3 linked regions of the Xenopus tropicalis genome follow. The protein of the gene in region 1 interacts with the protein of each later gene in a pairwise test. Links are inferred from orthologs where the notes say so. Each region holds a gene or a part of one and is shown on either strand. Other genes may lie near its edges. The genes, in order: rhoj, pak2 and wasl.

Evidence for each region.
Region 2: the proteins of rhoj (region 1) and pak2 interact in binary tests that used the Homo sapiens proteins (3 or more experiments, as listed by UniProt). The two-hybrid records come from large-scale screens. The link is inferred for Xenopus tropicalis from reciprocal best matches to the Homo sapiens genes RHOJ and PAK2.
Region 3: the proteins of rhoj (region 1) and wasl interact in binary tests that used the Homo sapiens proteins (3 or more experiments, as listed by UniProt). The two-hybrid records come from large-scale screens. The link is inferred for Xenopus tropicalis from reciprocal best matches to the Homo sapiens genes RHOJ and WASL.

Annotation. Positions count from the first base shown.
Region 1 is NC_030684.2:101,542,739-101,547,110, reverse strand, and holds the start of rhoj (rho-related GTP-binding protein RhoJ), read left to right. Parts: upstream 1-1,502; 5' UTR 1,503-2,150; coding exon 2,151-2,328; intron 2,329-4,372.
Region 2 is NC_030681.2:129,803,678-129,807,892, forward strand, and holds the start of pak2 (serine/threonine-protein kinase PAK 2), read right to left. Parts: upstream 2,813-4,215; 5' UTR 2,499-2,812; intron 2,382-2,498; exon of another isoform or gene 2,247-2,381; intron 1-2,246. UniProt on the Homo sapiens protein: Serine/threonine protein kinase that plays a role in a variety of different signaling pathways including cytoskeleton regulation, cell motility, cell cycle progression, apoptosis or proliferation.
Region 3 is NC_030679.2:70,345,385-70,349,034, reverse strand, and holds part of wasl (neural Wiskott-Aldrich syndrome protein), read left to right. Parts: intron 1-1,862; coding exon 1,863-2,025; intron 2,026-2,861; coding exon 2,862-2,904; intron 2,905-3,227; coding exon 3,228-3,381; intron 3,382-3,650. UniProt on the Homo sapiens protein: Regulates actin polymerization by stimulating the actin-nucleating activity of the Arp2/3 complex. Involved in various processes, such as mitosis and cytokinesis, via its role in the regulation of actin polymerization.

The sequences.
Region 1 (4,372 bases):
AGTAAATGTGTATTGGAACAGGTAAGTGATAACTGACAGCAATCTGAGGAATTCCTTTACTTTTGCAGGTCAAAGAACCACAACTGGAGCTGAAGCACAGGAACATCAAGGCAAGTAGCCACACAGAGCAGGATAGCTGGCAGGAGTCACAAGCATAGTAGAATTAAACTGGAACACAAAGACAATTGCAGTATTCAGAGGCAATCCAGGTTATACACAAGAGACAGTCCAAACTATAGTGCAACACAGAAGAAACAAACAAGAAGTTGAATCTGGAAGCCAGGAAAAATGGTTAAAACAGTCAGGAAAAACAAAACCCAACAGGTTCTAATAAGCTAACACTAACTAAAACAAACTGAGCAAATCACCTGGGTGGGGGCAGATCCAGAAACAAAAGGAGGGCTGGAAATAGGCTGTGGACCGAACCAAAGCAAAATTAGACTGGATTTCTGACACCATGTCTGTGTTACAAATTGCATATACAGAATATTCGTATGTTTGGGTTGTTATACCAATATATTTTAGTATATTTGGAAGCCCAGCTACCCATGTATTTACAAAACGAATGGAAAGCTGATACAAAAAAAACCTTCCAATACTTGCTAACTTATTTGTTTCAGAGTACAGATTAATTTGTTCATATCCTTTCAGCTCTGTACTGAGCTTTGCCATATATTTGGCTTTATCAAGCATTTTGTTTTTATAGCTTCTTTTATAATAACTTTTTATAGGTCAAGTTCTGTGTGTGCAACAGGTTTCTGGGTTTTTTTTTTGGAGGGGGTACAAAGTGCAACCCTAAGCTCCCCCTTCCCAGTTTCATATTTCTCACTCAATCCCCAGAGGGATTTCTATAATTTAGCCCCTACCTATGAGCCCAGATGTGTGCCATACTCCTCATAGTCCTATCATTATTCTACCACCAATCTCACCCCTACACACACACAATCTGGAGCCTGGGAAAGCAGATAAATGCAGCTGTCATGGTAGCTCAGCTCCCTGAGAGCAAGTTGTAGCACTCGAGGAGGGTATAAACAATCCCCTGGCCATTTAGTCTGAAGCACAGGGAGCCAAAAGTAAATGCATGGCTGTGCCTCTCAAGCCCACCTAAATACTTAAGTAAGTCTCAAGCCCATCTGAACCCAGCAGTATCTATAAATCTCTGACAACTTCTTATAGGTGGTGAGGAGAGGGGGTGTATGGTTTAACCCTGAGTTACCTCATTGCCTATAGCTGCAGAGGCAAAGTAAAGCACAGCATCTGCCATTTGAATTTGCATTTCCAGCAGCGGTGTGGAGGGGGGGTCACTGATCACCAGAGAAACACTAGGAATGTAAGTTTAGAGAAATCATTTTAGGGATGGGAGCCGACCTGCTACTATACCCCCTGCTCTGGCAGCGAGAGGGTTAAACAAAGAGCCTAAAAGTATGTGCTGTTCCCTCCTAGCCTGTAGAACAAAGCCAGTTTAATAGCCGCACTGAGGTGACATCATGTGCCTCTCTCCAGCCAGCTCTGTGTGCAGGATAAGGAACAGGAAGTCTAACTGTGGAGCCTGCAGTGAGACCTCTAGTGTTTTTCTAACTCCATGTCCTGGCAGAGTTCCTGTACAATACAAACACACACAGAGCTTCCATTGTTTCTAGCAGTTCACCAGCCCACTGATCCTAATATGGAATTCAGCAGGAAACCCATGATTTCCTGACACAGAGCAAACCCGAGAAAGACAGGGGGCAAAACTCCATTAAAATCTTCAGCGCTCCTCCATATTAGACCCTAAAACACAAGGGAAGGATGGAGTGGATTAACAGCAAGCTGTGATCTCTTGGGTTACACAGCAGGAGGGACACGTTCTATCCAAGAGGTTTATTGCATTTGTGTATTGCTTTTTTTGCACAGAAAATGTGTGCTGTGTGGGTCAGAATGAGATCATCCTGCAAGTAAGTGTAGCAATGAAGTGTCTGGCGATTAGCAAAAGTATCCCCACACACCACAGCCCTCTCTGAAACACAACCATGACCAGAGGATACTGCAACAGCAAATACAGTTTATTATGATTTCCTGAAATCTCACTCTCCCAGGAACAGAAACTTGAACTTGGAGTTGGTTTCATGCGCTGTTTTACCAGTGTGTAGCAGCCGCAGCAGCAGGGAGAAATGAATATGAGGGAGGAAAATGACAGCACGGGATGCAGCAGTATGAGCAGCATGAAGAGGATGCTCAAGTGTGTGGTGGTTGGAGACGGCGCAGTTGGCAAAACCTGCCTGTTGATGAGTTATGCCAATGATGCTTTTCCTGAGCAGTACGTTCCCACTGTATTTGACCACTATGCAGGTAAGGAAACACTACCACTGACAGCTGTGTGACTTATTAAGCGCCAACACATATTAAGGAACTAACAACATGGTCCCTTATGGTGGTTTAAGTAACTTTTATACTACCACTGACAGCTGTGTGACTTATTAAGCGCCAACACATATTAGGGAACTAACAACATGGTCCCTTATGGTGGTTTAAGTAACTTTTATACTACCACTGACAGCTGTGCAATTTACTGTTGTCTTGGCACCTATTAGTGAACTAACAGGCCAAAAGCTGGGAAGATATAATTATAACCAAACAGTGCATCCTTCTGTTTTTGGTGGGTCATTTGGGGCATAGTTTGGTGGCTATTTCCAAACAAGTCCTGCCACATTCAGAATCATACATTAAAGTAATAGGGATGGTACACCAGCTCTAGGCATTATCACTGTACAAAGTGCACAATTAGTATAACATTGTCCAGCTACTATGATGTGCCTTTTCTACTAGAATGTAACTTTCCTTGCAGATTTAAACTAGCGATGCTCCCCCAATTTACCTCCCTCCCCTGATCGCACCTAGGTAAGTTTGCGGGTGGCAGCCCCAGTGGGCCCTGCACACCCTGCAGATTTAACAGTAATTTGCACCCGTTTATATTCCCTAGCTTGTGCATTTGAATGCCATGCAAGCTAAGAGGGTTTGCCACAGTTTGGAACTGGAACTCAATCTCTATTCTTTTAAAAAAAAATTTAAAGAGCTATTTATCAAAGGTTGAAAATAAGAATACACTCTTTGATAAATACACCACTGATAAAGCAATATAAATTAAAAGAGAGTGGTGGAATTTAAAAGTAGATTGTAAACTCCACATGGCACAATTCCTGCCCACAAAAACTTCCTGTAGCAATAAATGGAGGGGTACCATCCAAAATATTGTTTGTGAACACTACTCTTATTGTAAGTGGGTCTGTTTAAGTATTGTGGGTTTTAGGAATCTGCATAAGATATTAAACATTACTTGGGCAAAAATGTATGAATGGGCTAGGGTACAGTTCCCTTATAAGGGTGGCACTGAGAACTGAGCTTGTACTCTGCCAGGTTTTTGAAAAATCATCTGTAATTTTGAGAGTATTAATGTGCACAGTGTATACAAATGAGAAAATTTAAACTTTTTAGTGTATTTACTGAAATGAGCTAAATTGTATTAGTATGATGTATATAGTGCTATTCTGAGACAACTTGTAGTTGGTCTTGATTTTTTTTATTATTTTGGTGGTTTTTAAAATATTTAGCATTTTGTTCAGCAGCTCTCTAGTTTAAAATTTTTGCAGTTATCGGGTTGCTAGGGTCCATGTTACCCTATCAATCAGAATACAAGGTAAACAGGAGAGTACCTGAATATAAAAAACGTAAAAACGTAACAATAGTAATAAAATTGTAACCTCACAGAGCAATTGTTTTCTCAATGCTGGGGTCAGTGACACCAATTTTTGATGCTGGAAAGAGGCATAAGAAGAAAGCAAATAATTAAAAAAAAAAAAATGAAGTCCAATTGAAAAGTGGCAAGTTTAACAGACAAATAGATAACAAAGTTGGATAGCAAATGAGAGGCACATGACTTTTAGAAATTAGTAGAAGAACTTGTTGAAAAAGTTTTTTTCCCATTTACACGAAGATAATTAAACTCCGAACAGTTGTCAAGGCATTTTTTTTATAAAGGTTTCTTTTTTCCTCCAATCAAACCTTTGATGAATGTGGCCAAAGAGTTCAATTTTTACTTTATCAGCCTATAGCATTTGTTTCGAAAAGGCCTGTGGTTTGTCTAGATGCTGTCATCTAAAACTTAGACTATGATGTTTGTGATAATGTTGACAGTAAGGCTTCCTTCTGATGATTGTTTTATGCAAATGTCCAGTTTGAGGAAGGATAGCCTCACCTGCACCCCCACCAAGCCAAGTCACAGCACCTGGGAAGTACCAATGGAAAGAGTGGCAGAAGTGCCAGGAATATTGTTCAGGCAATGAAGAAGAATTTCAATTGAAGTATGTGGTACCAAATTATCAGGTAGAGATCAGAG
Region 2 (4,215 bases), on another chromosome or scaffold:
ATCTAATGGTATGATTTTTGGACCATGTTTGGGCCCATTCCCATAACTTTCATACAACGGTGACTGGTTGATTAGTCAACAGTGATAAAATCTATGCATGTATCCGACAATGTCCTTTGGTGACCTACAATGCATTGCAGGAACATCACTTTCATACGATTGTTGTTTGTCGTGACTTTATCCTTCAATTTCAATCTGAATGTTAGTTTTAGATTGTTGCATTTAAACATAAATTCGATATCTGAAAGTTTGTTGGAAGAAGAACAAAATCTATTTGTGTATGGCCGCCTTAAGGGTTCAGCCAGTGCGAGTACCAACCTGTCCAAAGGAATGATAAAAGGACAGTGAGAAATACATCACATTGCTTTACGGCAGATAATAGGAATTGCTTTTCTAAACATTAAAAGGCACATCTTACTTGCCTATATTTCTTACAGTTTCACTATGCACAATAATTTAGATTACTGACTTTTTAAATTAATTATTAGGAAAATAACATGCACAGCTATTAGTATTACTCTTTAAGTGATCAAAGCACTATTAGTTTGTCCCTATAATAATGCATTTTTGTAACTCTTGTGCAATGCACGTATACCCACCTGGGGGAAGAAATTAGCCCTTGCGGTTAGCGCTACATTTGTCCACAAAAATGACTGACTATTGTATTATTGCATTTTTCATTTAGAGCTCTGGCATGCAAAAAAACAAAATAATATAGCACTTGGCTGTATTCAAGGCCCACAGAAGACCAAAAGAACTGTACTGGACATGTGCAAACTGTAATCTACATAAATCACAATAATCTAAAAGCTCCCCTGCTAGATAAGCTCTCAAAGTTGTGCTGTCTGATTCACTCTGCCCCTCCATTTAGTGGTAAAGACTTCTACACACCATGTATTCAGTAAAGTGAATGTTACAGAGCAGTTTATTTCCTCGCCTGGCTGAGAGTAAATAATGATACCTACGCATTCTACCAAGTGTCGGACTCCCGGTGGGCCCAGGTGTCAGGGGGCCCTCATACTTCTTACCATTTGGCCTAGTTCATGGTCATTCATTATTTCTCTATATGAACAAGAAGACTAAATAGAACAGATTTATAGAGGTTGAGTGAGGAGTTGAGAAAAAGTAGTTTGGAGAGTGTGCCCCTGGCCCGCCAGTCCAACACGGATTCTACCTGTAACCCTGGTGCCATATTGATTTTATTTACCAGAATGCCATGGAAGCAAGTAGCTCCAGTCTTATCAGCAAATCTCCTAACATAGGAAACAAGAGATACGTCCATCACGTTCAACCATAATGCCTATATACAACCTGCCTCACTGCTAGTTAATCCAGACGAAGGCAAAAAAAACCCCACCTGAAGCCACTCTAATTTGCCGCAGAGGGGGAAAAAAATCCTTTCTGACACCAATGACGCAATCGGACCCTTCCCAGGATGGCAATGTTACTTTAAATAGGGGTACACACCAATGACATTAAACTTTGTTTCCTGTAATGATCTCTTTATATTTCTGCAAAATAAAAACATTGTTCTGAATTGAACAATTTACATTTCAACTAGATAGGTACGGCCTTGGTACCATTATTGACTCAACTGAACTGACAGGTTGGCAAAATCATGTTATGCCAAGGTATTAAGCAATGCAAGTTTTAACCGAGGAAACCCCCAAGACCGTGCAGACTAGCAGTTATACACCAAGTTACATTCACAGCCTAAACAGGTTTTTTGCCTCACTCATATATCATATTGTATTGTATACATACAGTGATACCCTTGCAGGTTGCAGTGCCCCAGTAGGTACATATCTTTGCATCTCACACTGAGCTCAATGGAAATTATTTCAGCAATTTTTTATTGCAAAATGTCAAAAACCACTAGTCTGAAAAAGTTCTTTATGGGGTTCATACCCTGAGTTTCTGCTGAAGGGGCTCACAGCCACTAAGTCCAACCTGGCAGCTGGGTGCCACTGTGCACCATTGGTATTCACAGCAGGAAGAGATCCAATAAAATCCTGCCTTGTCCCTATCTAATGATTATACAGCAAAGACACGTCCCCAAGCACAAGAAGGGCCATTCTATTGTACAGAATACTATAACTCCCACAAACCCCAGCTGCACATGATGCGAGTTGGAATTGAGCACTGGGTGCTTGCTTGTCCGGTCCAGCACAGGAATACAGGGAATACAAGGAATACAGAGAAATACAAGGAATACAGGGAATACAAGGAATACAAGGAATACCGACAGTGGATAAACTAGAGTTCCCGGGTTCCCAGAAGCTGTAGTTCGGTCCCAATAGGAGCCAAGGATTGGCTATAGCTGGCGTGCTGCCCCGGACACACTATTTCCTCTCCTCACAATATCCCCATCATGGTGTTACCCCTCAGCTTGCCGGCCTCGCCGCTCCCACACCGCACACCAGGCCGCCCCAACTTTATAACATGACACGTAACGGGACAGTGCAAACTGTGTGACAGAAAACCACGTTACTTATTACCGGGTGTGTGAATGAGGTGTTGTGACTTGTTCCCCTCCGCCGGCTCCCTCTCCACTGGGCCCCTTCTTTCGCTCTCTCAGACCCTCCTCTTCCTTGCTTTTTCCGGTTCCGGGTTGCCACACCTCCCTGGGTTCCCCACTGCTCCTGTCACAGTTCAGTAATTGAGCGCCACTGTGTGAGAAGCGCGTCACAGAGGGAGGAGCTGAGTGGCAGAGCGGGGAGACTGGGCGGGCAGAGAAGCGTGGGCGCTACCACCATAAGGGGGGCGGCGGGGGTGCTGGCAGGGCCGTGTACGCACAGCGAGTGAGGGGGGTTTGGGATTACGCCGCTGTGTTTTTGTCAGATGAGATGCAATGCCTGGTATGTGTGAGGAGTGTGTGGGCGTGCTAGGAGCCGTTACTTACCAATAACATGACAGTGAAATTGTAGCAGTCCTGCTGCGTGTGCGCTTGCGCTGTTATTGGCTTTCAGAGTGGGCGCTGACGCCTTGTTAGGGGTTTGCCGGATAGGTGGCCCTTGGGTTGAATGCAGGTTTCTGCATGTTACACTTGTCTCACCCACCCTCCCCACACAGCTGTATTTGGGCAGCTTCATTGTCTGGGTTGCATTTAAGGGAAGAGTAGGGCAGAAAGCAGAAATGCTGCATATTAGGTTTGGGCTCCTGTACCAGCCCAAGTCACCCACAGCCCTTTAGCAGGGAAGATCTGTGCCCCCAAAGATGCCCCAGTAGCTCCCCATGTTCATTTCTCCTGATTCACTGCTTAGGACCCTCTCACAATAGAATAGAATAGAATATATCTTTATTGTCATTCTCACATAGTAAACAACGAGATTTTAAAGGAGACATATTGGATAAATGGAAAAAACCCTAATTTTGTAGGCAATTATGAATAATATATGGTACTGGTTTCCCTTTGTGCTTAAAATGAATCCTATCTGTAACAATGGCCCCTTTATTGGAGCTCCCTATAGATCCTATCACTTCTCTGTCTGTGTTTCAAATGAAGGGTGGGCGTGTACTAACGGTCTCTGCCAGAAGCACAGTAGGAGGGGGAGAGCCAATCACAGCCCTGCACTCACACAAGCACAGACAGGCTTCCGTTCCCTATCAGGTCAGCCTAGCTGCTGATTGGTTCCTATCCTACAGTGCAGGGTACTGAGAGCCGCCGGCTCCCCAGCTCATCCAGAGAATTCAGCCAGCAGGAAGTGGAACAGATTGGTGGGACTAGAGGGGTTTTGTGGAATTTCTCAATAAATCAGTCAGAAACACAATGTTTTTTAAGCACAATCCTTCTATATTTAGAGGAATAGAAGTCACTGGTACATTCATAATTTTGATATGATATGTCTCCTTTAAAATAGCAACGACTCAAAGCAGTGGCATAATAATACTGTATACAGGGTTGGACTGGGGAGTTCAGGGCCTACCAGGGCACCCCCCAATGGCCCCCACCACCTTCTTCACCCCCCCCCCCATCCCGCAGAGGCCCCCAACACCCTACGTCCCCCTCCCTGCGAACGCTCCTAAAAGAATCCTAACTGCGGTGTGTCGGGGGAGGGACGCGGCATGGAGGAAGCGCCCTGGGGTTGAGCGGATCAGGACCATGGGGGCCCACCAGGTTTTCTCCCAATACCCCGGTCGAACGCTGACTGTATATACAGAATATAAATGTCACAATACGAGACGAGTAAATAATTCTGATTATTAGTACGTCAG
Region 3 (3,650 bases), on another chromosome or scaffold:
ATCTATCATCTCTCCATCACTTAATTCACATTAGGTCTGACCCTGTGTGTTGTGGCTTTTTTGGGCAGTTATAAATGAAGCTATACTTATGAGTGGGACAGATAGGGGGTACACACTGCAGTTTCATTAAAACTTATTATCAGGGTGACATTACTCTTTTACATTACATTTTAGGAAATGTTTAATTTGTCACTGTGCTGTATGTTCTAGGGAAGAGATTTATAAGCAGTGTGTTCATTTTAAAGTTTAAATATTATCCTGGAAAAACAATGAACCCTTTGTATCTTGTTCCCTTAACATGCTCTAAAAATGTCCTAACAGAAGAGTTGTGGCCCTGTGCCCATATTTCAGATAAGCTTTTTTTATAAAAGTTTGATATTTTACTGTTCTTTAGATTGCCTAGTCAACTGTGTAATTTTAGCTGTTTTTTTAATTAACACACAATTGCTAGTTATGTCATGTGGTCTTTTCCACATTTTGAATAACTTTAATTGCAAGCTTGGTTGGTGTGTAGAATGTGTAATTTGTTTCTAAGGAATTCTGTACTTCTAGTATGTTATAGGTTTACCTAAGAAACCTTTTAGCGGGTGTTTGTTTGTTTCTATGGTTTTTGAGTGAGAAACCTTACTTTTCTTCTTCTTTTCAGCTTACAAATGAAAATGCTAGTTGTTGTAGTCCTTGAACAACTGCGAGGCATCAGATGTTTTATTTTTTATTATCCTGAAGATGAACTAACACTAGAATGAAAATTGAATATAAGCTTTATCTCATGCAAATAAGGAACTTTCTAAATATAATCAATGTTAACATTCTCTCTACATGAAGGATTTCAATTTTGGTACATTGGAACATTTAATACATTTGTCCAGAAGATGTAATATAAGTAACTCTTTCTTTAAAAATAATCAACTGCCACAAATCCTGCATGTAGAAAGATGAGATTTGGGTTAGCGTTGGTTATTTAAAAAAAAAAAAAAAAGTAAAAGTACTGTTCCCAGACAAAGGAATAACCTGACAGGGGAATACTGAAGATTAACTTTTGATAAGTTTGCCAAATGAATGGTTCTTTACCCAATTTGGCCATTCACATTCTGGGCTGATTCTTTAGTTTGGACCCCAGGTCAACAATTGCATAATAGTTATCGGTCCAGCCTGCAGAAGAACACATCAACAAGCCCAAAGAATTTTTAAACCTACTCTGCTATCTCACCAGTTTTCATACATGGCCAGAAAGTTAATGATGTGGAGAAGCAAGTCAGACACTAATATCAACACAAAAGGCAAGCTTTTCACTCAGAAAACAGAGGTGTCCCTTATCAAAGAAAGTGAAAATATTTTAGGCTCTTTTCATTTCTTTTAATTTTTTAATGGTATGGTTTATTTGTGAGTAATATTTCATTAGAAAGATTTAGCTTGTATTTTAGCTGCACTCCATCTGTTTGCCTTCATAATAGTCTTATCACATGAACTTTGTATTCAGCAGCAGTACACTGGTTACAGAAAAGAGCACACCAAGTTAAAAAATTTTGTTAGTGAGCACTATGAGGCAGAAGGGCAAATCACCTAAATGTAGTCATACTTTACATTTTAAGTAGAAGTATATGTACTGAGAAGTAGTAACCCATAGCAATCAATCGGTGCTTAGTTATGATCTGTCTGCTTTGTCCTCAGACTAATGAAATATTCTGATGGATTGTTGTAGGGTTGTCTGGGTATTTAAGGCTGCCAAGTGAATTCTCTCCAAAATCACTTTATGTGCATATAATCTATGGAAAGCCACAGTTAACTTCTGTGCACTGTTTATTGCTGCCTTTCTTGTTCCAGCCATCGTTTCACTTACATTATACTTTTTTCCTTTCCAGGGCCAAGTCTACCAATGGCAACCGTTGACATTAAAAACCCAGAAATCACAAACAGATATAATGCACAAGTGAACAACATTCCATACAAAAATGACAAGAAAAAGGGAAAAACTAAGAAGAAAAAACTTACAAAAGCTGATATTGGAACTCCAAGTAACTTTCAGTATGTAATCTAAATGTAGAATAAAATGTGTAAAATAGCCTTTGTAACTAAATTGCTTTTACACTACGGGTATAATAGTCTTATGCACAATGCTTGGGACCTAGGGTTTTCTGGATAAGGGATCTTTCTGTAATTTAGATATCCGTATGTTAGTCCTGCTAAAAATCATGTAAACATTAAATAAACACAGTAGGATTGTTTTGCCACTAATATGGATTCATGTAGTTTAGTACAAGGTACTGTTTTATTATTACAGAAAAAAAGGGAAATAGTTCTTTTACTATTAGTTTTATTTGCTTAAAATGGACTCTAAGGGACATGGCCTTCCTGTAATTTGGAGATTTCTGGATAATGTGTTTCCTGATAAATTAGTACAATTCCTGTGGTACCAGCTGTGGGATCCCTTATTTGTAAGAAATCAGCTAAGAACTAAGATGATAAACCATAGACAAGTTAGAGTGTTGGGTAACAATTTTTTGGGGTAATTTCAGAGATTTTATATTTGCCTGAGGCCATGGAACATACCACTGAGGGCAGAGGTCCAAAGACCTTCCTGGAAAGTGCAGTGTTGACTTCACTTGAATTACATCATTTAGTAGAGAATAAAGTAATTTAGGCATAACACAGGAGTAAAGTTTTCTTTAGGAGTAGTAACCAATAGTTTTAAACTGGATTTTTTGATTACCGGCTTTATGCCCCTTAATTTCTTATTTTATTTTTGCTTTGTTCTGTAAGTATAGTCAATTATGCACTTCAGTACACATTACGTTATTATATTTGTATTCCTTCTGTGTGCTTATTTTGCTATCCTTACCGTGCTTTTTTAATTTTTTTAGACACATTGGACATGTGGGTTGGGATCCAAACACAGGCTTTGATGTAAGTATTTTATAATATACTGGAGGAAATACTTTTTTTCCAGTTTGTTCTTTGCCTTTAATGATTTTGTAATGCAGACTTCTCCTGTATTCTATACAAACCTGTAATCTGTGGCAGTGCTAATATCCTGTATCTACATTTCCTTCTTACCACATTTTCAACTTGCTGTTAATAACACAATGCCATGTTTACTGTATTTTAAACTAAATTTTGGCAGATAAGCAGGCCATATAAGCAGTTCCATAAATTCCAAAGCGAGTATCAATCTTAAATAATGTTACAATGGTTTAAATGATCTATTTAAATGATGTCTTTATTCCTAGGTCAACAATTTGGACCCGGAGCTTAAAAAGTTGTTTGACTTATGTGGCATATCAGAAGCTCAGCTGAAAGATAAAGAAACATCAAAAGTAATTTATGATTTCATTGAAAAAACAGGAGGTGTCGAAGCTGTCAAAAATGAGTTGCGCAGGCAGGGTGAGTTTGCATCTGTCAGACCTGAATGTAGAACCAATATTTATTCATATTTTCAGGAATAACTACCTCATAAGAAATAAATCTTCTTTTAGCCGGCATGTTTTTAGGTGGTCTGAATATTGGTAATTGTCACTGGCCCAACACATGGTGTGGTTTCAAAAAGCATTAGTTGTAAGCAGCAAAAGTGTAGTGTTTTAAGAATCTTTTGGCCTAACTTTTACAGCCATTTATTAATATTTATGAAACTATTTTACATGAAAACCATAATT